2 linked regions of the Arabidopsis thaliana genome follow. The protein of the gene in region 1 interacts with the protein of each later gene in a pairwise test. Each region holds a gene or a part of one and is shown on either strand. Other genes may lie near its edges.

Region 1 (8,669 bases):
ATTGGTGTGAAAGGCAGAGTTTCTCATTTCAGATTATGTATGCGTTAGTGTTGTTTAGCTCTGAGGAACTGTTTTAGGAATGGATAGTTATTGAACTGTTTTGTGTTATTGTAAAGTAATCGTTGTAACATTGATGAACTTTTTTTCTTTGGTGATGGAACTGTTTTAGGAATGGATAGTTATTGAACTGTTTTGTGTTATTGTAATTTAATCGGTGTAACATTGATGAACTTTTTTTCTTTGGTGTGTTCCATCTTTATACAAGTGTTGTTCACTTAAGTTTTCCTAATATGAAAAAGCATTTTTTTTGTTTTGTAGATAGCATGTAGAGATTTCCCTCATCCGCGACATTCGTGTGCTAAGTATGCGTTCAACTCAACATCACATGAGAAGTACTGTGACATGGTAAGTATCTAAATATTCTCTAATTCTACACGGAGCGTTAATGGATTCTTTTCCTGGCTGATCCTTTTCATTTGGTTTCTCTTTCAAGTGTCATTGTTATGTGTGTGACATCCGTGCTCCGTGTCCATACTGGTGTATCGCTGTCTCCTCCATAGATCATTGTCATGCTAATGATAAAGAGAAGATATGGAAGAATCAACGTGAATACTTCAGGACAGGATACATGCCTACCGCACCATCTTCAAAACCTACTCCAAGTATTTTACGGGTACCCAAAAACACTTTGCTTCGGAAAAACCATGTTGAGATCCGGCCTTGTTCATCATCTACCCGTGTTGCTAATCCTTCAAGTGTCAAAGCCAGGCATAGAATCAGGCAACCGATTCCGCACAATCAAGGGTTGCAGAGTCAACCGGCACAGTCATTAAGCACTGTTCGCGACAGCGTGATCCAAAAGGATAGAAGTTCTTATAGGTTTAGCCTACGATCCCGAGTAGCCTCTTCTGCGGGAAATGGTATCAGCATCCGATTTAACAATGCTCAAGTTTCACAATCCAGTCACCATAGCTCTTCCACAGTGGCACCTACATTAAACCCGGAAACGTACACTCAACAACGCAATGTTCGTGATCATTGCACAGCGCTACCTGGTTCTCAGAGCAACGTGTTCACTCGACATGCAGACCAGAACATACGTGGTAGTGGAAATCGTCAGTTTCAGACAAATGTGGATCGGTTTGCTCCGTCCAAAGCTCCTCTTACTGCTGAAGATTCGCATACAGCTACGGTACAACAGCAACCAGGGATTAATGAAAACGTCTTGGAGACCAAACTATCGGAATTTGAGAAATGGCTAATGGAAAATCCTAACCCAACCGGCCCTGTTAGTCCGTTACCTGAACCGGGAAATCAAGACTATGCTAGTACGTTGTCATTTGATTTTGAAACATTTTTGAATGATTGAAAGATTCATAAGGGTAGTTTGTATCTCCGTCCCTAGGTTAACTCTCTTCACTGATTGTATTTTGTAGAGGGAGTGCTGTAGTTTATTACAATCTCGATTGTGTGTATCATTTAATTAGCTGCTACTAGTACATCATAAAATTAAGTCCTAAAAAGTACCTGTTTGCCAATTGACATAAATAATGTTTGTTGATTTGAGTTTTTTAAGGTCAAAAATCAAACATACCATCATTATCACTGCCTGTTTAAATGATTAGGGAGGGGAAAATATCCATGTAATGTAAAAGAAGACAATCAACAATCGAAAAGCGATAGATATAGAAAGAGGCACACACATATGGTCTTGATTAAATTTGATCAAACTTCTATTTTGCCTAATAGACAAATAGTCCAAATTTATCAAAACCGGAAAAACATTGTTATATTTTGGATCAAAATTACTTCTACCATCATTTAGTTAGCTTTTAATATTTTAGAAACAATTGAATTTTTGACCCAAAAAAAGAAACAATGGAAATAACTGATAAAGTCTTCTTAAAAGTATAGGAAATTTTGCCAAGTATATAGTATTAATTTTGGAAACAAACACGAAAATGGAATAGTTTTGAGAGTTGATACTTGTCATTTGTGGAATTATTACTATTACTTTTTAATGTAAAATATTTCGAAAATAAACTTTTAACAAAAGTAAAATCCGAAAATACTTAGTTTCCAAGTTTATAGAAATCAAGCCCAGCCCATTTGGGGTTTTTAATTTTTTTTTTTTTTTTTTTTTAAAAAAAAAAAAAAAAAAAAAATCAAACCCAAAACGATTCCGTTTAGTAGGCTAAAATTCAAGTAAGTCCCGGCCCAATAAGGCAACTAACGCCCAAAAAAGAAACGGTTTTGTCGATGTGACGGTAGCAAACGGCCACCAGTTTTGTCGTTTCGATGTGCGTGGCCACCACGCGCATACGAAACCGCGTCGGTGTTCGCTAACGCCATCATCATCGCCTTTTTTTTTTTTTTTTTTTTGCCTTTCTCCGAAAGCAGTCTCACTACGGCAACACACTACCCTACGCCCCCTTCCCACCATCAGCATTAAATTCTCTCTCTCTCTTCGCTTCTTCTGGTTTCGAATTCACTTTACTCTCTTCGCTTCCAATCTCTCTCTACCACTCTGATACCTTCGCCGGAGAAGAAGCTCTCGTTCTCTCTATCGTCGGAGAAGCTCTCGTTCTCTGCTTCCCTGCTCTGTACAGATCTCGAGCCGCATTTCGTGGATCTGTCAAAATCGCGTTAAAACCTACTCGCTTCTCTCTAACCCTAGGGTTTTTGAATTTTTTTCGGGACGAGGGAGAAATCAATGTCTGTGAAGCTTTGAGGAAGCTATATGGTTACACCTTTGGTTCTGGTTAGTCTTCGTTTTGATCGGCGGAGAGTGTTCGCCGAGGCTTGGTGTCTCCGTTATTGACTAATGGTGGTTTTTGATTTGAGATAAGAGATGCGGAACTTTGCGATGCTTCTGCTGTTAATTCTTCTTCTTCACTCTCTCGCCTCGTTTCCTATATGCTTTGGTATGAACTAGTTAACAAATTTCTTTTCCCCTTTTCAAATTTAGGAAACGATTTTGATAGGAGAAATTAACCTTTAGTTAAGTTGCTCTTACTTTGACAGCTCAAGATTAGTTGGTGGTCTATCTATATTTAGAATTGTTTATTGGATTTAGATATATTTAGAAGCTAATTTTGGTTATGTACAAAGTAAGCAAAAGAGTTTAGATTATTTAAGTTTGGAATCTGTGATTGTGAAGCGTGAGAGTGAAGATCAAGTCCTCACGTTTTGTGCCTTAATTGGCACACAACCTTTTAATAGCTAGAATGCACATAGATCTTACTCTTTCTTTTCTGAGTATCTTGAGGAAATATCGATTTTGTGTGACATTCTCTTGGCCAAATTTTATCCTCTACAGTTGGCATTATACTTTTAAACCCAAGAGAGGAGGATGGAGTATGCATACTATTAGAAACATTCTATTTTTTCGAAACTTTTCACTGCTATGAATATTCGACATGTGTAGAAAGAATCTATAGATGACTTATCAGCTTGCTTTATCATTTGCAGCTCGGTTATTTCCGATGAGTTTGCCATTTACCCGATCAAAGGCGCATCAAATGCATTTCTTTCATCCTTATCTTAATCCATCAGTTGCTCCTACACCTTCACCAGGTCAGTAAGGGAATCCTATTTGTCACCTAAACATAGTGTCATTATGTTTCTGTCTAGGAGTATTCATTGTTCATTGTCTTTCCCTTTTTAGCTTTTTCCCCCAACCCAAGTCGCATTCCACCACTAAGGCACAAGGGTCATCACCGTCATCGTCGCTGGCATTTAAGACGCAATGCCACTGCAGTGTCACCTTCGTCACATGGTAGTTCTTTTGCTTCTTGTTGGTTATCCTGCGTCCTATTATAGTGGCAACGATAATGTTTTATATGAATACTTTTTCTTCAGACTTCAGTTGATAAATCAAGCGTAGTAACTACTTTTTCCTGTGTATTTCCGGCTTTCCTTTTGATAGACTGTCAGCAGACATGTGTGGAGCCTCTCACTTCAACTCCCTTTGGTTCACCTTGTGGTTGTGTCTTCCCCATGAAAGTTCAGCTTCTACTAAGTGTCGCACCTTTTTCTATTTTCCCCGTGACCAACGAGTTAGAAATTGAGGTTGCTGCTGGAACATACTTGGAACAAAGCCAAGTGAAAATAATGGGTGCCAGTGCCGACAGTGAAAATCAAGGGAAAACAGTGGTGGATATTAACCTTGTTCCACTTGGGGAAAAGTTCGACAACACTACAGCAACACTTATTTATCAGAGATTCCGGCACAAGAAAGTACCTCTAAATGAGACTGTTTTTGGTGATTATGAGGTTACGCACATAAGTTATCCAGGTAAACTGATTTCATTCAGATGCAAGTTTCTACTTTTTTTTTGTTTTATTTCAAAGTTTGAACTTCTTAACCTTGCTTCAGGAATTCCTTCTTCTTCGCCAAATGGAGATGTTACTGGAGATGCTCCAGGAGGCCTTCCAATTCCGATCAATGCAACAACTTTTGCCAACAAAAGCCAGGGAATAGGTTTTAGAACGATTGCAATTATTGCGTTGTCAGGTTTTGTCCTCATTCTGGTTTTGGTTGGAGCTATTTCTATAATCGTGAAATGGAAGAAAATTGGGAAGTCATCTAATGCTGTTGGTCCGGCTTTGGCTCCATCGATTAACAAAAGGCCTGGTAATTTTCACCCTCTGACTTCTTAACGCTTCTATAGCTTTAAAAGAACCTGTTTCTGAAAAATTTATTCGCCTTGCAGGTGCTGGATCTATGTTTTCCAGTAGCGCCAGAAGCTCAGGCTCAGATTCTTTGATGTCTTCCATGGCTACATGTGCTTTATCAGTTAAGACCTTCACACTCTCCGAGCTTGAGAAGGCTACTGATAGATTCAGTGCCAAGAGGGTTTTGGGCGAGGGCGGATTTGGTCGTGTTTATCAGGGGAGTATGGAAGATGGAACTGAGGTTGCAGTGAAACTGCTAACTAGGGACAATCAGAATCGAGACCGTGAATTTATTGCCGAAGTCGAGATGCTAAGCCGTTTGCACCACCGCAATCTTGTGAAACTGATTGGAATATGCATTGAAGGTCGTACACGTTGCTTGATTTATGAGCTCGTCCACAATGGGAGTGTTGAGTCCCACTTACACGGTGACATATTCTTTTCTCTGCACTTTTAATAACAATATATCCCAATTATATCCATCACTTCTCGTTGCATCACCACCTAAAACCTGGCTTTCCGGTTGTTGACAAAACAGAAGGAACGCTTGATTGGGATGCGCGGTTGAAGATTGCACTTGGAGCAGCGAGAGGACTGGCTTATCTCCATGAAGATTCAAATCCCCGAGTAATCCACCGTGATTTCAAGGCTAGCAATGTTCTCCTAGAAGATGACTTTACCCCAAAAGTCTCAGACTTTGGACTGGCAAGAGAAGCAACCGAAGGAAGTCAACATATTTCAACTCGAGTCATGGGGACCTTTGGGTAAAATTTCTTTCCAACTCAAATATGATGAATACAGACACTCTGGACTTACAGTGACTACCCTGGAAATAATTTCAGGTACGTGGCTCCTGAGTATGCAATGACGGGGCATCTCCTTGTTAAAAGCGATGTCTATAGTTATGGTGTAGTTCTACTAGAGCTTCTAACCGGTAGAAGACCAGTAGACATGTCTCAACCTTCGGGAGAGGAAAACCTTGTGACATGGGCGAGACCCTTACTAGCCAACAGAGAGGGCCTGGAGCAACTGGTGGACCCTGCATTGGCTGGAACCTACAACTTTGATGACATGGCGAAAGTGGCTGCGATTGCCTCCATGTGCGTCCACCAAGAGGTCTCACACAGACCATTCATGGGTGAAGTTGTGCAGGCACTAAAACTTATATACAACGATGCAGATGAGACCTGTGGTGATTATTGCAGCCAAAAGGACTCATCAGTACCAGACTCTGCTGACTTCAAAGGCGATCTGGCTCCTTCGGATAGCAGCTGGTGGAATTTGACACCTCGGTTAAGGTATGGTCAAGCTTCGTCGTTCATAACAATGGATTATAGCTCAGGACCACTAGAGGACATGGAGAACCGGCCTCACTCTGCCTCTAGCATTCCAAGAGTAGGAGGTCTTATTCTACCAAACAGATCAGGTCCGTTAAGACCCATGCGTAGTAGAAGAAACTTCTTTAGACTGAGAGGAAGCATGAGCGAACACGGTGGACCGTCGTCGTCTAGACATCTCTGGTCCGGCAATGGTGACTGGCTCTGAGAAACCAGAAAATGTACAGTGAAGAAAAGGGAAAAGGAGGCTCACAAACTCTTGAGCTGCATGGTTAGGTTCTGGTTAATCCGGCCAGGTTCGGTTCATCTGGGTAAAGATTTCCGGTTTGATTTCTTTTAGGAGCTGTTTGTTGTTATGATTATCCTCAATAGAGATTTAATTGTTTGTTTTTGCGAGGATGCAAAAGCACAGGGAGGGTTGTATTTTGAAGGACGCCTGTATTTAGTTCTCTCCTTTTCTCTCTCACCCACAAAAAAACATTTTTATATATTTTATTTTAGTGAAGTTAGTAATTACCTAATTTTTTTTAGTTTTTCAAGTTCCTAAGAAATTTGGCTTTTGGTCATCGTTGTTAAGTTTCCGGTTTTCTGAATTTACATCCGAAATATTTTTTGGTTAAATAAAATTCTGGCTTGAGAGTAATTGGCTGGTGAATGGTAACAAGTCACTTGGTCAAAGCTGTTGTAATTCTTTTCTAATTTCTAGTATCTTCTGTAGATTGGACACAATGACATGGATTGTTGATCTTTAAAGTCGTAGAGTATAATTTGATATGTTTGTCTTTCTTCCTCCATATCTTCTTAATTCCTCCTTCCACTTCAGCCAAACCGAAGCTTGCTTTCGAGTTTCTGAGTCTTCTTCATTTTGTTATACAACACAGTCTAAAGAAAGAAAATCTGTAGGCCCAATAAACACAAAAATCGATTTATGGGCTAAGCAAACAACGGTCACAGTGGCTGAGTAAACGGAAGAGAAAAAAATATTTTAAAATTTTGAATTTAAAATTAATAAGGTCTTATTGGGCCTACATTATGAAACCTATCTAATCTCTCGAGATATAACAGTTGAGGACAAAACGCTAAAATCCGTTTGCGTTTGGTTTATATTGGCAAAAGCAAAATAATTTTTAATCGAGGAATATGTAGGAACGTCCGATTTAAGTATCTGACTGATCAGATCAACGTGACCAAACGAACCATGAAATGAATGCTACTGGAACCCAAAGTAAAGAACAAAGAAACTAGAATTGCTAGTTAGTATTCATAATATTAATAGTTAGTTTTTTAAGAAGTTAATTTTTTTTAATTGCTAAATATTTTTAATCAATAGTTAGTTTTTTTTCTTATATTATCAATTAAATATTTATTAAAATTTTCAAAATTACCGTGCAAAATTTATACTAAAAAATTATATACTCAATTGTTTTTCATATTACTTTCTTATGAAACTCATATCGTCATATGTATTGAGTTTAATTGTAATGATTTATTTTCTAATGAAAATAAGGAGTTAATATTTTCCAATTGATATGTATATGTGACGTATGAGCGAACAAAAAAGAAGAAGAAAATATATTTGTGGTTATATAGAAAAGAAAAATGTTACAAAAAATGGATTGTACCGAAGACAAAACCTCATGAGTCACTTAAGTAGAGAGAGAAACCAACTGAGCCAACATATCATTCCGAGTTTTGTTTTTTGTGTCTAAACCATAATTTCATGTTTGTGTTGTGTGAAAGCCATGGAAGCCGGCGGGAGCAAAACCAAGAAATGAGTTGCTTGCTACAAGAGGTACAATTCTTATAGAGAATATGTTTTTCACATCAAGATTGCGTTCCATTCGATTCATCAGCCTTAGTGTGGGGTTTGCTTCAAACATTGTAAATCATTCGAATCTGTTCGAGAACACCTTCACGGTATGGCTTGAGCTTATATGATCTTCTTGTTCTCTGTTTTTTTGTTGGGTTGGTGTTTGATTGATGATTATTTTGAACAATGTCAGTTCCGAACCATCCCTCTCGACCATTCAAAGAAAAATGCAAAACCATTTTCGCTGAAAAAGGGTGTGAACTTTGTCTTCAAGTCTTTGTGGAAGCCACTGCTAGGGATGAGCATATGAAAGAGTGTCTCATGTCTTCACCACCTCCTATCCAAAATGCTTCTAGTGCAAGTGGCACACGCGTGATGAGTCTGTGCATATCTAATTTTAGAAAAAACTATTTTGACTCTAGTGGATACAAAGATGTTTTTAACATTATACACTGTTAAAATTGAGTTTTTTTCAATGACTTTATCGAAAACATATTGCGTTCTATAATATTAATCAAAGATAAAATCCTAATAAAACGTAAATATATAACAATTTCTTTTTTTAATGAATAGTCTATAACTTTTCTTAAAATATAAGACTAGTATGTATCATGCTCATAAGATGGAAATAAAAACATGTTAAAATATTAAAGAAATTATAAACTGAATTGGCTTTAGTGGTTATTTAAATTTCAATTAAATTTATTTGATTTAAAAAAAAAGAAAATCTTCTAAATTAAATTGGCTTTAACGGTTATTTAAATTTTGATTGACTCAATTCATCTACAATTATTTTTTAAGAAATTTTATAATTTACAATTTTTTTTTTTTGCCTAGCCGTATCG
Region 2 (5,144 bases), on another chromosome or scaffold:
AATCTATCATGTTTGGATGTTGCTTTGGATTTGAACTTCTTTCTTTACTTTGAATGCTTTGGATTCGATTCTAAACGATGTTTTTATGTCTTGCTTTGGATTTGAACTTCTTTCTTCTATTTGAATGGTTTTATTTGGATGTTTTGAATCTTGCTTTTTGGGTTGAACGTATGAAACTTTTATTATGTCATGCTTTATTGATTTTACTTTAAGTTTTTTTTATTACAAATTTACAGGTTTTATGGTATATGTGGTTAGTATCAAGTATGTTCGGGTATATTATAGTAGTTATAAACTAGTATCGAATAATATTCGGTTACTTTTTGGATTTTTCAATGGAAGTACCAATACCTACCCAAACCCAAAATTTACCGGATCGAACCCGAACCGAAGTTTTCAAATACCCGAACGGGGTCTAAAATTATAGTTCCGAAAAATCCGAACCCGAAAAAATCGATCCGAACCCGAACCGAATACCCAAACGCCCAGGACTAGGAGAAAAATACTCCTATCAACCAAATGAGTGTATATCAGACGATGTGTACGGACTAGCTTGATAATTAGTACAAGCGTCAAACAACAATTTTTTGAAATAAATTTAGAATTTTGTGCAATAAAAGCAAATTTCTTTGACCCAGCCGGTTATGCTCTAGTAAAATTAGTTAATGATCGCTAGAAGGACAAAGTCAATCTTGATTTTGATAATATCCTAATCTAACCAGAGTAATTACAAATTAACTGTATATGGCATAACCGATATTTTGGTAGTAATTGATTTGGCTCCTTATTACCATAAAGAAATAGAATTTTATTATAAAGAGATCAATTTTCTGATAGGTTAACTATACTAAGCTGATTAATATCAGTGTTGCGTGATTATATGGTATATTACGATTTGTATATCTTATTAAATGTGGATTATTTCTTAAAGCTTTTACTATGACACTAGGAATATATAACATTAATTTTCGTTTGATGTCGAAAATAATGGTTAGGTGAGATATAACAATCATAAACTAAATTAAAATAATATTTAACTTATCACGAATATTGTTCACATTGCTAACATACTAGCATGTATCCACATAGTATTGTTCACATTATAAGTAGAAAATTCTTATTAAAAAATAAAAAAATCACTACATTTTTTAATGCAATTTTATTGTTTACCTCCTAAAAAACAGATCAATTTCATAAAATAAAAAATAACTCGTAATAAAATTCCTCAAAAATAACCGATTTTGTATTATTTACTTTTTTGTCAATCGATATAAATTAGAACTAAAAAAAGTTAATCCCGAAAGATATTATTTATATATATGACATGATACGATCGATTTTATATCTATTTTTATCATTATTACCCCCGTTATTTCACATTTCTTATAACCTTTTGTTATTGTATAATTTTTCTTTTTATTATCAATCGGAACAAAGAAATACAGAAGTTAAAAGCAAAAGTAGTAAATATTATTAAACAATTATTGCGTGTAAAAATAGTGTATATGTGATCGTGTACAAAAGTACATGCATAACATGATCAATATAGAATGCAATACAACTATACAAATGTCAACAATCTACAAACACGTTTTAACTTTGAAAAGCAATCTAAAATTCATGAATCTAAATATACTCTCTGGCAGCTTTCTTATTACCATATCTTAAAGATTGAACCAAATAAATAAATTTACATCATTAACCAAATTAAACCATCCACATTTAATTTAATTACAACAAGTAAGTAAAAGATCGTCTCTTTCTTCTTTCCCGGAAAATCCTCTCATTTTTGACTTGCTCAATTTTGCTTCCTTAAGACCCAAAAATCCAAACCTAACCCTAATCGACATTTTCTCCGATTTCTAAATCCTCCTCCGGTGAAAATGTCTCACCTTGATGATCTTCCTTCTACTCCCGGAAAGTACAAAACCGATAAAGTTCCACCGTACGGGATTCTCCACCACCACCGTTACCTCCGTCTCTCAAAACTCACCCTTTGGGCTTCTCTCTTCCTCGCTCTCTTCCTCTTCTACCTCGTTTTATCTCCTCCTCCGTCACCATCTCGCCGGAATCTCAACGATTCTTCCTCCATTTCCGCCGCGAAATACGGCGGCTCTCACTGGGAGAAACAAGTCCGTAAATCCGCTCGTCCTAGGTCTCACGGCGGTTTAACGGTATTAGTCACCGGAGCTTCCGGATTCGTCGGTACTCACGTCTCGATCGCGTTACGAAGACGCGGCGATGGTGTTCTAGGTCTCGACAATTTCAATCGATACTACGATCCAAAGCTTAAACGAGCAAGACAAGGCCTTTTAGAAAGATCAGGTGTTTTCGTAGTCGAAGGCGATATAAACGACGCCGTTTTACTCAGAAAGCTCTTTGATGTTGTCCTCTTCACACATGTTATGCATCTCGCTGCTCAAGCTGGTGTGCGTTACGCAATGCAAAACCCTGGCTCATATGTTAACAGTAACATTGCTGGGTTTGTGAATCTATTAGAAGTATCGAAATCAGCGAATCCGCAACCTGCTATAGTCTGGGCTTCCTCTAGCTCTGTTTATGGTCTGAATTCGAAAGTACCCTTTTCGGAGAAAGACCGTACCGATCAACCAGCGAGTTTGTACGCAGCTACGAAGAAAGCAGGTGAAGGAATTGCGCATACTTACAATCACATCTACGGATTATCGTTAACGGGTTTGCGGTTTTTCACTGTCTATGGACCTTGGGGTAGACCAGATATGGCGTATTTCTTCTTTACTAAAGATATTCTTAAAGGGAAGACGATTACTGTGTTTGAATCTCCTGATAAAGGTAGTGTTGCTAGGGACTTCACTTACATTGATGATATTGTAAAAGGTTGTTTAGGTGCGTTAGATACTGCTGAGAAGAGTACTGGTAGTGGTGGTAAGAAGAAAGGTCCTGCTATGTTTAGGATTTATAATTTGGGGAATACTTCTCCTGTTCCTGTTACTAAGCTTGTGACTATATTAGAGAAGCTTTTGAAGATGAAAGCTAAGAAAAAGATCATGCCTCTACCGAGGAATGGGGATGTTGAGTTTACTCATGCCAATATCACGTTAGCGCAAGCAGAGCTCGGTTATAAACCTGCGGTTGATCTTGAGACGGGTTTGAAAAAGTTTGTGAAATGGTATATGGGTTTTTACACTGGCTCGAAGAAGAAGAGTTCTTGGTGAGCTCTGTCTCTCTGCTTAAGTCATGGTCTCTGTTTCCCCTTGTTGAGCTTGGAGTTCGCTCTAGGTTAAGCTTTTGAAACCGAGCACTTGCATTGCCAGGAAAAATCACTTACGTATCTGCATTGTTTCTGTGTTGCTAGATTTTGCTTCATTTATTTGTTAGTAGATTTTGAGCAATGTACAGCTTCATCACTTAGATGTTTCAATTGTCGAAACTCAATTGTCTTTTCCATCATGTCGGAGGAATAAAGTAGCTTGGATTTTGATGCATATACTCTGTAGTAATTCAATCTATTGTCACTTGTTTCTTGTGAATTCAAACATATATTTATTCTTATTCTGACCAATTTTTACATAGCTCTAATCACTTGACTAACGATGATGGTTTGGAAGAACAAATCAAATCACTGCATAATCTTATAACAAGAAACAATGAATGTTCTCTAGCCTGAAGTTTATGTAATATGCCAATAGATTCACAAGATTGTTCTCTAGCCTATACCATGTTATCTTCCTCTGCGCAATCAACCACGACATATGCGATGATGTTATCGACAAGTTCTTGAAGATCCAACACCATCTTCAGTATCGATCTTCCACCAGTCAACACCATCACCAATCTCCACAGGTTCCACCTCTGTTCCATTCTCAATCTCATCATCATAATCAAACTCGTAATCCCAAACACCGCAAGAACCACCTCTCTCTTTCTCCAAAGCAGGATCATAAGTCCACTCCAACTTCTTCAACACATCTCTATCCTTCCACTTCCCCACAACTTTCTCAACTTCCTTCTTCGCCTTCCCCATCGTCACTTCCTTCCACGAATACGCAACATCCGCTACTCGCTTCAGCGCACCTTCGTTCGAATCTCCAATCACAACCGTCCTCAAACACCTCTCCTTAGCTTCCCACAAAATCCCCGCAAAATCAGAATCATCAGACACTAAAACAACACACTCCACTTCTCTCTTATCCATCACTTCAACCAAATGTTCCTTCAACGCCTTATCAGCAGCATCTGGCTTATCACTAACCATCTTCACCCAAAAACCAGCTCGTTTCAGCTCATCAGCTAAACCGTAACCTTCCTTCGGAGTCAAAACATTCCTCGCCGCTCTTTTATACTTCTCAATCTTCATCGAATACTTAGCCACAAGTCTCACTCTTCGATGTCCTTTCGAAGATTCAATCTGTCTCATACGTTTCTGATTCTCTGTCTCATGAATCTGCTTGAAATGATTAATTAGCTTCTCGTTAGTGTAGAATCTCCGGTCACAAACACCGCAGAAGTAAGGCTCCGGTGGTTTAACTAAACCTTTGTTCTCTAATTTGTTTAGCAATTTCCTATCTTTCCTCTGTTCTCGAACTTCTAAAGGAACGTAGCTAAAGGCGTGACGATTCGCATACGCCATCATTAGCTTCACGGTTCCGAAAGACGACGCGGCGGTTCGGAGCTTGACGGCGGCGTCGTAAGGCGGGAAAGAGGCTGGTGGTTTGTTGTCTAGATCCCACCAAACCCCTACTCGGATTTTGGGTTTAGGGTTTATCGAGCTAGAGCTAAAGCTAAAACCTTTGATTGAATTGAGAGATGTGGTTTGGGTTTTAGGTCTCCAACTTTTTAGGACAAATCTTGAAAACATCGCCGGGATCTTTAAAATCGACGGAGAAGATGGGGGCTTCAAAAAACCCGGTTTACATTACATACCCGACCCGGATCCGATTAGAGTTCGGCGATTCTCATGTAAGTTCAATCTGGAGCAAAGAAGAAGACGAATTGAAATACAAAATATAACACCTATAACCCTGAACTTTGTAAATGTTACAATTTTCTTCCTTAACTTTATTAGGGAACAAAACACACCACTGTTCATAGAAAATTATCAAATTTCTACTGCATTAGGTTATTACTGTTATTGTTTTGAATACAGTAAAAGATAAAAACAAATA

The links. Proteins that work in one complex are often made in the same cells at the same time.
Region 2: the proteins of ALE2 (region 1) and GAE5 interact in a protein complementation assay, tested with the Arabidopsis thaliana proteins (one large-scale study listed by BioGRID).

Annotation. Positions count from the first base shown.
Region 1 is NC_003071.7:8,754,028-8,762,696, reverse strand, and holds ALE2 (Protein kinase superfamily protein), read left to right. Parts: upstream 1-2,398; 5' UTR 2,399-2,851; coding exon 2,852-2,924; intron 2,925-3,471; coding exon 3,472-3,576; intron 3,577-3,667; coding exon 3,668-3,778; intron 3,779-3,928; coding exon 3,929-4,297; intron 4,298-4,378; coding exon 4,379-4,636; intron 4,637-4,715; coding exon 4,716-5,105; intron 5,106-5,215; coding exon 5,216-5,441; intron 5,442-5,519; coding exon 5,520-6,222; 3' UTR 6,223-6,845; downstream 6,846-8,669. Other genes in the region: RIN13 (RPM1 interacting protein 13), read left to right, coding at 319-405, 494-1,369. UniProt on the Arabidopsis thaliana protein: Required during the differentiation of the protoderm into shoots epidermis and cuticle.
Region 2 is NC_003075.7:7,287,588-7,292,731, reverse strand, and holds GAE5 (UDP-D-glucuronate 4-epimerase 5), read left to right. Parts: upstream 1-1,611; 5' UTR 1,612-1,883; coding exon 1,884-3,194; 3' UTR 3,195-3,540; downstream 3,541-5,144. Other genes in the region: AT4G12240 (zinc finger (C2H2 type) family protein), read right to left, coding at 3,743-4,837. UniProt on the Arabidopsis thaliana protein: Involved in the synthesis of the negatively charged monosaccharide that forms the backbone of pectic cell wall components.